Saccharomyces cerevisiae S288C: one gene and its partner. Changing the gene in region 1 together with any one later gene gives a genetic interaction. Each region holds a gene or a part of one and is shown on either strand. Other genes may lie near its edges.

What was found.
Region 2: mutations in PWP1 (region 1) and RMR1 together harm fitness more than expected from each alone (negative genetic interaction), as found in Saccharomyces cerevisiae (one large-scale study listed by BioGRID).

The regions. Positions count from the first base shown.
Region 1 is NC_001144.5:540,257-547,282, forward strand, and holds PWP1 (rRNA-processing protein PWP1), read left to right. Parts: upstream 1-3,711; coding exon 3,712-5,442; downstream 5,443-7,026. Other genes in the region: UPS1 (Ups1p), read right to left, coding at 1-280; NCW2 (Ncw2p), read right to left, coding at 553-1,317; glycylpeptide N-tetradecanoyltransferase NMT1, read right to left, coding at 1,681-3,048; snoRNP complex protein NOP56, read left to right, coding at 5,841-7,026.
Region 2 is NC_001139.9:27,858-33,135, forward strand, and holds RMR1 (Rmr1p), read left to right. Parts: upstream 1-4,052; coding exon 4,053-4,778; downstream 4,779-5,278. Other genes in the region: HFM1 (DNA helicase), read right to left, coding at 64-3,569, 3,722-3,779; ZIP2 (Zip2p), read left to right, coding at 5,241-5,278. UniProt on the Saccharomyces cerevisiae protein: Required for normal levels of gene conversion events during meiosis.

The DNA.
Region 1 (7,026 bases):
AAGTTTTCATTGTGGAGTTAGCGGGGTTCACTACGGAAACTTCGATTATCCATGTTTCTGTTATACCTCTTAAAAAGGGTTTGACCCATGTGGGCAGCTTTCCGGACTTTTTCAACAGCCTCGTTGTGCGCAAATTTCCTTCTTGATCAACGTTCCTTGATATTGTGTCTATGGATAGTACATGGGGGGAGTATGGATTGGGGTATCTATTAAAAAAGGCGCGTGAAACAGAGGCAAAATCGGTAGGAAATATATGTGTGCTTTTGTGTAAAAGGACCATTGCAACTCTTAAGGATATCTTACCGCCGTCTCAGAAGCCAGACAATACTTATTGAATATGATTACTCATCCATCTGTCATATATATTTTTTTTTTCTAGCTTATTATCCAGGGAGAGCGAGAAATACTGCGGAGTTTTTCACCCGAAAGAAAAAAAATACGCAAGCACGATGATAACAATAGTTATATTATTGGTTACCTACAGTGTATAAAAAGAAAGAGTTTTATTAAAATGCAGAACTATGTGGTGGTATACAGAACTGATTATACATTCTATAACAAAAGGGCACCAACGGCGAATGCACCCGCACCATAAGCTATGTGAGTGCCGGCAAAGGCGCCATTGGTAGAATTGGACATTACGGACGCTACCTTACCGTTGACTGTAGACTTGTATGTAGTGGTCAGTGTCTCTACTGTAGAACCTGACGTAGTGGTATAAGTTGATTTGATAGTGCTTACTACCTTGGTGCTTGATTCCGGTTTTGATGAGGATCCCGAAGATGATTTACTTGATGAAGCCGTGTTGTCAGTTGTGGCTGAGGACGGTAGCCACCAAACAGTAGATGTGTAAGTCTCACCTAACGAATTCGTGGTAGTTACTATAGTAACTGGCCCGTCCGTTGATGTTGATGTCGTTGAGGAGGATGCGGAGTTGGTGATTCCGCTTGACGTCTCTCCGGTGGGCTGCACAGAGGCAGTTGAAGTTGTGCTTACGGCAGAGTTGCTTTCGGCCACCCACCATAGGTACTGTGTCGTGGTTTTGCCTTGTGCATCCGTCGTCACTACGGTGGTACTTGGAGCCACAGCATAGGTGTTGCTGACGACGTTGCTAGTTTGTACTAAGCTTTTTCCGGTAGAAACTACAGTTGATGCGCTTTCTTGGGCTTCCTTTGTCGTGGTAGGTGTGATCTCTTGAGAGTTTGAGCTTTCCTTTTGTGAGCTATCTTCAGAGTTCTGGCCATCTAAGGAACCAGAGTCTTTTTGAGCAGCGGCTAGAGTAATTAAGGTGGTAAATAATATGGAACAGGCCTTCATTTTATATATATGTTGGGTTTGTTTATATTTTCACTAGATCGGTGAGTATCTAGTCCAGAAGAGTTGATCTTTCTTACATACTTATATATGCTCACTACCGCCTTCTGAGAAAGTAGGCGTTTTTCAGCTACCTCAGTCGCTAAAAATAAATGCGAGTTCTCAAGCCAACTTGGACTCCAAGGCGGTAATTATAGTGATTCTCTTTGTCTATTTTTGGATTTATTTTGGAGGCTGACACTCTAAAGCCAGCCATTGGATTAATTATTTTTTCACTTCGTCAATTGACTATGCGGAAAAACTAAATGTGGTCAAATTCTGTCGGCTATGTACACGAAAACTATATACGCCTCGTCCTTTCAGCCACTACAACATAACAACACCGACATTGCTACGCCTTTTAATGTCGTTACTATTGTCGGGATTCAAGCCACCGGTAATCGGCTTTGCTCTATAATTAAATAAATAGAAGTTCAAGAACCCGTCACCGGGCCCGAACTTCAAATCATCCAAGAACAATGTATTATCTTGCGAAGTCAACGCGTTAAAAACATCCATATTAGCGTTTTTGGCCAAAATACAAGCGTCATAAATCAATTCACACAATCTTGTTTTCAAAGCCTTAGTAGCTTTTGGATCAAACCTGTCTTTGAATTGGAAATCTGCATCGGTGGCATAATAATACAAGTACCCGATGCCTAGGTCCTTATATTTTGTGTTATTTAGGATTGTGAATGGCAATGAGTAAAATGAGAAGAAGTCTGTAATTTTTCCATCGGGCTGTTCGACTACATATGAGAAAATTACTTGTTTATCCAATGGTAACGATTCTTCACCAATGAAATTATGTTCGAATTCTTCTTTTGTGAAAATTTGAATTAGTTCGAACCTGGATTGATATCTTTTGAACAACTCAAAAACTTGGTCAATATCTTCCTTCTTTAATTTTCTCAATCCCGCTGTCTTTGTTTTGGCCGGTAACGCATTCTCAGCAATCATATCCTCCTCTGTGTGCCCATCTGGTAACCCTGTGAAATCTACTTCATAAAGTTTCTTCCAATTCAAGGGACGATGAGTATAACGACACGTACTCACAGGTGCTGGCAAAACAATACCTGCCGTGTACAATGCATGCCAGATGTCACATTTGTTCACTCGTCTCGTAATTTCTTTAATTAGAACAGGTGTTAATCTCTTCGATCTTAGCTGTTTGTGAACGCACAAGAAATTGATTTCTACACTAGGCACTTGTTTACCTCTAACACCAAGTGTTACTGGTATGGCTGAGATAAAGGCAACTAATTTCTGTGTTTCTTTAACGCGAACACCAATATGCCAATCCTTCTTCCAACCTGGACTCTTTAAAGCCCAATTGAAGAATTCTTTGGTATAGTTAAATCTGAAGCCTGCATCGCGGTCTTCCACGTAGTTTTCATTTAGTAGAACGAAAACATCTTCAAGCTGTTTTTTGTTGTCCACATCAATACTACACCATTCGAAGCTAGACAATAAAGGTAGTGGCTTGTCAGATATATCTTCCGGTGTCTTTGGCTTATCAATGGGGCCTTCTTCCACCACCTTTTCATCGAAATCTTTGACCGGTTGCGTTCTCCAGAATTTGTGGTCTTTCATAGCTTTTTTCTGTTCTTGAGTGAATTTTGAAGTATCGTCATTATTCAACTGTAATAACTTCAATAAATTCTCTAATTTTTTCGCTTTATCCTCTTCTGACATTCTATAAATACGTTTACTACCGAAGCTCTATGACAACCAGAGCTATTGTACAGATCATTCTCTAAAAAGCGTGCAACACATATCATCTTCAATTATAGTGAATTACTTTTATCATGAGCAACGGCTGAAATTATTTTATCCTATTGTTTTATGACAGTATCCTTTCAAAAGAGTCGAAAGGATCCTCTGTTGCAAGAACTACTATTACGTAATTATACATAGTCCGCCTGCAATTTCTAGTGAGACTTTGCTTTGCTTTCCACTTTGCGATTAATATTGAGAATTTTAAACGTTAACTGAATTCTTACCCACCCATAATAAGAACTCTAACTGGCGAATTTATCATGAAACAAATCTGCAAGAATAAAAAATTAGAGAATCGTGCAATTCAATTTAATTGCCTTGTCCGTTGTAAAACTTTTCCATAGGCCCTACCTTGAGTTGATCATATGTATTATTCTATATATATTATATCCAGTCGGGTAATAAATTTTCTCGCCCTCGAAAAAAAGAAGTGAAAAATTTGTCTCGATGAGCTGAGATGAGTTTGAAAGAAGCAAAGAGTTTTAATTTGTAAACGATAGCAAGTGTACCCTCAGTTGAGTCTATTACGCCTTCCTTATTTGGAAACTTAGAAGACGAATAAAAAAAACAAAATAACTAATGATTTCTGCTACTAATTGGGTTCCAAGAGGGTTTTCCTCGGAATTTCCTGAAAAGTATGTTCTGGATGATGAGGAAGTGGAAAGAATTAACCAATTAGCACAGTTGAATTTGGATGATGCTAAAGCTACTTTGGAAGAAGCAGAAGGCGAATCAGGTGTTGAAGATGACGCCGCAACAGGTAGTTCTAATAAGTTGAAGGATCAGTTGGATATAGATGATGATTTGAAAGAATATAACCTGGAAGAATATGACGATGAGGAAATTGCAGATAATGAGGGTGGTAAAGACGTTTCCATGTTCCCGGGTTTAAGTAATGATAGCGATGTTAAATTCCATGAGGGTGAAAAAGGTGAAGATCCATATATTTCATTGCCTAATCAAGAGGATAGTCAAGAGGAGAAGCAGGAGTTACAAGTTTACCCATCCGATAATTTAGTTCTTGCTGCGAGAACAGAAGATGACGTTTCGTATTTGGATATCTACGTTTACGATGACGGTGCTGGGTTCCACAGTAGCGATATTCCCGTTGAAGAAGGTGATGAAGCTGACCCAGATGTTGCTCGTGGATTGGTTCGTGACCCTGCACTTTACGTTCACCATGATTTAATGTTGCCTGCTTTTCCACTATGTGTTGAGTGGCTTGACTACAAGGTTGGATCCAATTCCGAAGAAGCAGCCAATTATGCTGCCATTGGTACGTTTGATCCACAAATTGAAATTTGGAACTTGGACTGTGTTGACAAGGCCTTTCCCGATATGATTCTGGGTGAACCTCTTGATAATTCAATGGTGTCTTTGAAAAGCAAAAAGAAGAAGAAGAAGTCTAAGACTGGACACATTACTACTCATCATACCGATGCTGTTTTATCCATGGCACACAACAAATATTTCCGTTCCGTTTTAGCATCCACCTCTGCAGATCATACCGTAAAACTATGGGATTTGAACTCAGGTAACGCAGCCCGCTCCTTAGCTTCCATTCATTCAAACAAAAATGTTTCATCATCTGAATGGCACATGTTGAATGGTTCCATTCTTTTGACCGGTGGTTATGATTCTCGAGTAGCTTTAACAGATGTTAGAATTTCTGACGAAAGTCAAATGAGTAAATACTGGTCTGCCATGGCAGGTGAGGAAATAGAAACTGTTACATTTGCCAGTGAAAATATAATATTATGTGGTACTGATTCTGGTAATGTGTATTCTTTCGATATTAGAAACAATGAAAACCGTAAACCAGTTTGGACATTGAAGGCACACGATGCTGGTATCTCCACATTATGTTCAAACAAATTCATCCCTGGTATGATGAGTACAGGGGCCATGGGTGAAAAGACTGTCAAATTATGGAAATTCCCCTTGGATGATGCTACGAACACTAAGGGCCCAAGCATGGTTCTGTCTCGTGATTTCGATGTCGGAAATGTATTGACATCGTCATTCGCTCCAGACATCGAGGTAGCGGGTACCATGGTCATTGGTGGTGTCAATAAAGTTTTGAAACTATGGGACGTTTTTACCAATAGATCTGTACGTAAGAGCTTTAAAAGTGAACTAGAGAATGTTCAAGCAAGAGCAAAAGAAGAAGCCCAAAAAATAGGAAAAAGTTCAAGAATCGCCAGAAAATACACCAGTAACGATAACCCAGATACTGTTATAACCATTGATGATCAAGGTGAAGATGAAGAAGAAAGAGAAGGTGGAGATGAGCATGATGACATGGCATAATCTGGATATGAAAAATATTAAAGCAGAGTACATTGCAAGTACAAATAAAAAATCTATAGAAGATAATACTGTATACTAGTGTAAGAGGAGCCTCAGAAAAAAACAATATAATACATTAATATGTGCTGTTACGGTATAATTTAGCATATGATGACAATGTGGTGAATTACAGTTGTGTAACTTTTTTATATCACCCGGCATATATACGCTCGTAGAATGCGATGTGAAAATTTTCTTTTTTTTTTTTTTTCAAAGTGAAATTTTTTTGAGTGATGAGATGGGAAATGAAAAATTTTGTGCAATTGCGTAGTGTCTACAGTTTTTTAAGTAGTTATTAAAAGTGTTTTGGAAGGTATATTTCTAGGAGAAGAAGCGTGCAGAACAGTATTTAGTGAAAGATGGCTCCTATTGAATACCTACTGTTTGAAGAACCTACTGGTTACGCAGTTTTCAAGGTTAAGTTGCAACAAGATGACATTGGTTCAAGATTAAAAGAAGTTCAAGAGCAAATCAATGATTTTGGTGCTTTTACAAAGTTAATCGAACTTGTATCTTTCGCGCCATTCAAAGGTGCTGCTGAAGCCCTTGAAAATGCTAACGACATATCAGAAGGTTTAGTCTCTGAGAGTTTGAAAGCTATCTTGGATTTAAACTTACCAAAGGCTTCCTCGAAAAAGAAGAACATTACTTTGGCTATTTCCGATAAAAACTTAGGTCCTTCTATTAAGGAAGAATTTCCATATGTTGATTGTATTTCAAATGAACTTGCTCAGGATTTGATTCGTGGTGTCAGATTACATGGCGAAAAATTATTCAAAGGTCTACAATCTGGTGACTTAGAAAGAGCCCAATTAGGTTTAGGTCACGCTTACTCCAGAGCTAAAGTGAAGTTCTCTGTTCAAAAGAACGACAATCACATCATTCAAGCTATTGCTTTATTAGATCAATTAGATAAAGATATCAACACTTTTGCTATGAGAGTTAAAGAGTGGTATGGCTGGCATTTCCCCGAACTGGCTAAATTGGTACCAGACAACTACACTTTTGCCAAGTTGGTTCTTTTTATCAAGGACAAAGCTTCATTAAACGATGACTCCTTACATGATTTGGCTGCTCTTTTGAATGAGGATTCGGGAATTGCACAAAGAGTCATTGACAATGCCCGTATCTCCATGGGACAAGATATATCAGAAACCGATATGGAAAATGTTTGTGTTTTCGCTCAGAGAGTCGCTTCCTTAGCTGATTACAGAAGACAATTATACGATTACTTATGCGAAAAAATGCACACTGTTGCACCAAACTTATCAGAATTGATTGGTGAAGTGATTGGTGCTAGATTAATTTCTCACGCAGGTTCCCTAACTAATTTATCTAAGCAAGCAGCTTCAACGGTTCAAATTCTTGGTGCTGAAAAGGCTTTGTTCAGAGCTTTAAAAACTAAAGGTAACACTCCAAAATACGGTTTGATTTACCACAGTGGTTTTATTTCTAAGGCCTCTGCCAAGAACAAGGGTCGTATTTCTAGATACTTGGCTAACAAATGTTCTATGGCCTCTAGAATTGACAATTACTCTGAGGAAC
Region 2 (5,278 bases), on another chromosome or scaffold:
CAAATAACAGAAAGGATTGGGGTAATGAATATCAGTAATGTCTATTGTTCCCGGCCATGCCGCTCATTCAAACTCTATATCGGAACCCAAGAAATCCAGATCACCATTCGGATCACTTATTGAGCTCGCCGCTGTATTACTAGAATAACTATCGGATGATTCAAGATCAATAGGAATTATTTCAGGGCAGTTTTCGGGGCCTGATTTTAGGACTTGTTCACCCGCTTCCATAGACGACATCTGTTGCGATAGATTATAAATTTTTGAAGGAAGTGTATGAACTGTCGCAATATCTGTATTTTCTTCTTGCCACTGCTTTGGTTTACTATTCAGTCTTTTTTCCAGGTGAGGGGTTGTGTTGATATTTTTTGCAAGCAGTGGCTGGCGTATTTGATCAGGTTTTGATACTGGCTTGATTGAGGAGGGTCCTTTTTCTTTTATATACTTTACTGGAATACCCTCTTTACAACATAAATGTCTGCATTGCGTTTTGTCTTTGCAGCTATGAAAACACTCGTAATTGCCATTAGATCTTACTTGGCGGCCATTACTAAAATGTGAAGAAGAGTGTGCCTCCGGGTGAATAACTGCTGCAGATTCAACCGCCTTTGATGATTTCTTCCTTTCATTCAAATAATCTAGTATACTATCATCTGAGGATAGCGATTCTTCTAATCCATCTTTATGGGAAACCCTAGACGTTTTCCCCACTTCTCCGTCACTACTGCTTTCATAGAAGAGGCATTTTTCTAAACTATTTAGATCTTTCCTTATATTTGGTGTCTTCGCAGAGAACTGTGATGCCAAATGATCAGTGGAATATACGATTGTTTTGCCGAGTCCGGCGATTTCTTGGCAATGAATTGAGAATTCTATTTTTTCTAGTTTTGGTGATATTTTTGCTGAAATTCTAAAGCCCCTTGGTGACTGTAGTTTGTTAACTTGCAATCTTCTAAAGTCGATTAACTCTCCTGAGCTTTTCTCGGTTTCGATATCTAATGAGAGGTGCTGACCATGCCAAATGCTAGACTTGAATGTTGCACTAATCTCAACTTTAAATGTCAACCACAACTCTTCATTTTCTATTTTGCAATTTTCTAGTTTTGTTCTAATATTCAGACAAGGCAACAAAGAAATGTCGTTTTTAATTTTTATGCCGTTTCCAATCTTGAGGTTAAGATAGTATTCAATCTGAGTATCTGACAAATGCCCCATTTCTTCTAGATTGGTAATTCCATGTCGTATTAGCCTTCTTACTGAAACTAGTCCAATTGTTTTCAATTGCCTAAGAACCATTGGCGTGTTTTCCCAGCAGTGACCATTCAGGCTTCGCAGTAAGAACAAAGTATTTTTCAGTGATGTTCCATCACTTTTTTCAATAAATGTGTCTACCATGCATTTTAGTAATCTAAAACAATGTCTAAAAACGAGGAATTTATCCTGAACAAGAGTTTGATGTAGTTTAGAAGCGCCTTCGTATGATGGAAATTCTAACCCACCTAACTCATATTGAATCAAAAGAGAAACCTTTTGACTAACCCTGTCAATTATTTGGCTCTGTTTCTTCTCGGTTAAAAATGGATATTTCAAAAGTGGCGATAAATTGATTTCTTTGAACAATTTTTTTTCATTGTGCCTCACCCTCATAACTGAAAACTCTTCAGAAGTGGCCAGTAAATTTAGTATCCCTTGTAATGATAGAAATTTTTTTGCGTTAATGAATTGTTTCATCGACTCAAAGGATATATAATGTCGCGTCATTGCATTTCCGTACGCTGTAGATTTGTACTCCCCATTGCTGATATCGATTATTTTCACTTTTACTAAGGTGTCAAGCAAATACTGACAGAATTGATTTATCTGAGAGTCTTCAACGGAATGAAAACTAACGTATCTGTTCACCTCTTGATATGCAGCTGGATTCTTCCCAAATCTAACGTAAAAGAATGTGTTTCGTAGCCAATTTACTGCAGTTTCAATTGAATATACAGTTTCCAAAGAGGTTTCTGCTGCTAAATGCTCGATCAAATTCAAATGTAATGAACTTTCCAAAACGTCAGTTCCATGAATTAAGTTTTCATATGTTTGCTTCATTTTAGAGTCTGTCATGATTACTGCGCACCCGTGAGTTTCAAATTGAGGTCTTCCTGCCCGCCCAATCATTTGCAGTACATCTAGGTCTGAATACTCTTGGATTTCAGAAGAGTTCCAACTTTTGGTGCCTTTGATAATGACCAAATATGCGGGAAGGTTCACACCAACAGCTAACGTTGAAGTTGAACACAATATATTAATTGAACCTGCAAGAAATTCTTTCTCAACGGCAGTACGGTCTTCTAAAGAAATTCCAGCATGATGGAAAGCGATACCTTGTTGCATACATTCATTTAATATTTTATCGGAGGGATTATGATTACATCTTTTCTTACTTTTTGAAAAAATATGATTATTTAATAAAAATTTTGCTGTTGATATAGTTGAAGCCCTAGTCGGACAAAATATTAGTACGGGACGATTATCGGCATGCTTTTCAATTATTTCAATCAATTTGGAATTATATATAGCATCTTTTTGGAAGTCATTTTTGCAATTGAAGGAGTACCCATAAACAAACTTCGTTAACTGAACTTGCCTGTACGATTCGTCAAAAGAAAGAATATTTGCAGGAAGCTCGTTGTTAGTTTTGAGCCACAATGCTAGGTCTTCTATATTTGGAACTGTTGCACTTAAAGCAACAAACCGAATGTTTTGACACATTGTATTCATCCTTGTCAGAATTACTTCCAAAGATGCTCCTCTTTTCTCCTTTATGGTATGAATCTCATCAACTAGGACAAGTTTGACCAATTCGAATAATCGGCTGTAATCGGACCATCTTCTTGTTAACAAATCCCATTTTTCTGGTGTCGTAATTATTATGTTACATTTTTTAGCCTTTTCAGTTTCCAGAAAAGAGGTATCACTAGTAAGCATACCAACAGAAAGATTCACAAAGGAAGGAAACCAGTTCTTGTACATCTCGTAACATAGAGATTTGGTTGGCGCGATGTATATAATTTTGGTGTTATTGGTATCACTATTTGTTTCCTTTATAAGACGTAATATTGCCAATTCAAATAATACAGTCTTGCCTGATCCGGTTGGTGAAGAAATTATGCAGTTCTCGTTACTCTCATAAATACTAGGAAAAGCCTCTGATTGCATTTTATTAAATTCTGTAAATTTAAAAACCCCTCTGAATGAATCTGGTAATATGGTCGTGCTCAAACATTTCTTCGCTGATTTCCTTATCGTGACCTTCTTAGGTTTCTTCGCCTCTTCATCAGGTGTCTGCTCTAAATCGTGATCAAATAATTTACTAGTTACTTGTGTATCATCTGCTGTTATTGAAAAATTATCGTCTTTGTCGAAGAATTGCAGACCACGGCCCTCAAATATTTCCTCTGTTTCATTTTCATCATCACAATCATCCAGTAAACTGTTATAAGACAAACCTACTTTAAAACTTGGTTGGCGGCTATTTTTCTTATTTCTTTTAAATGTAGCAGACTGGTCGTTAAAGTCAATATCTATAAGTCCTCTGAAATTCTAGTCCAGAAAAACCACTTTTGGTTGCATTTCCGCTAGATAATAAAAGAAAGAGGTAACAATGTTAGTCAAAATACTGTTGTTGTCCGATATGGTGTAAACTGATAAGGGTGTTGCTAAGCTTCGTTACTACTATTTGGAGAGGGTCTACTTCTTTTTCCTGTACCGAGGCGATCAAACTTTGTTTTCATCCTTACGACGCCTCTTAAGTTGTCAAATCCACCTTGAGGTATCAATCATTTTCAATGAAAGGATTTCTTGATAGATGATACTAATAGTCCCGTTTTGTTTATAATCCGGGGCAAAGTCTAAATACCCGCCGAGCCTGCATCCATTCGTGGTACATGATATGTTAAAACTACAACAAGGCATAAAAAAGGGAAGTATATATGATTAATTATATATACGTAAAGGAAAAGATACGTAGTTAAAGATTGTTTTTGTTGGTATCAATGGAATCAAAGATGAGTGAAGAAGAAGCGCATAAAACAGTGGAGGTGGATGACGTCGGGGTTCAATTGGATGAGGGCGATGAAGAAGACCTTTTGGAGTATGATGATGAACTCGTGGAGGAACAACCATCGGACGCCCGTATACGCAACGTGGCAGAGACTTTAATGAAAAGCGAATTGCCCAAAGTCACCGTGGAATATAAAGATACTACATTTCTGTTGTTCACGTCGGATGATAAGAACGAAAGTAACAACCCCATAATATGTGAAAACGCTGCTCTTTATCAGCGACCCATGGGGGAATTCATGGAATCCATTCGTAAATTTATGGGAAATCGTTTTGGCAGGTTGGCTTTTGCTACGAAGGAGTTGGTTTTACAACTGAAAAGCCTCGATTTGACCTTGTTCGAAGATAATGTCTACAACAACCATATTTCATTCAGCGATGTTTATACTATATTTAAAATCCTGAAGGAAAGATCGGAGTCTAATTTTGAAACTGATATACCGACGCACTTGGCTATTGAATTAAGTACAAGGCCAAGATTTGTCTCTCGGTACAACGCCTTGGTTGAATTAACTGAAAGCTCAGCTACGTTGAAAAACATAAAGCCATTTTCTAACGATGAAACGCATCCCTTAATTGTGGATGACAATGACCAATATACACACCAGAATACTTCAGAAGTCATTGTAATGGACATAGATGATGACGTAGGTGAGGATTCTGAAGACTAAAGTAGCCATGTTTAATCAGCACTGATCGTGGGAAATCCTGATGTCCAACGGTGAGTTTCTGATTTCCCAGTCACGGATTCCTTTTGAGAATCTTCTCCCGCGAATAAATTATTGGCTCTGTGTAATATTTAAGGTCGCCTTCTTTTTCGTTTGTATAGTCAGCAGTTAAGTATTCATTAATTTTGGATGATGCAAAGGTCCATATTCGATTTCTGATAGCCCTTCCCCCTTTTTTGTAGCGAATTGTATTATTGTTTTGTATTGTTTTTTCGTCATTTTCTTCAATTTTTTTCAAGTTTTACTTTCGGAAGAATTGCTGAAAGTATTTTCTGTTAGGATATGTAAAATACAAGCATAAAATATGTTTCAGGAGAAGAAAATCACTCAATAGTGCCACACCATTGTTAACGAGCTCGAGTAATTGAATCAATTTAGAGAAATAGATCATATTACAAAAATACTATGATTATTGAACGTTGGGAAGTAAAGTTATCTAAATG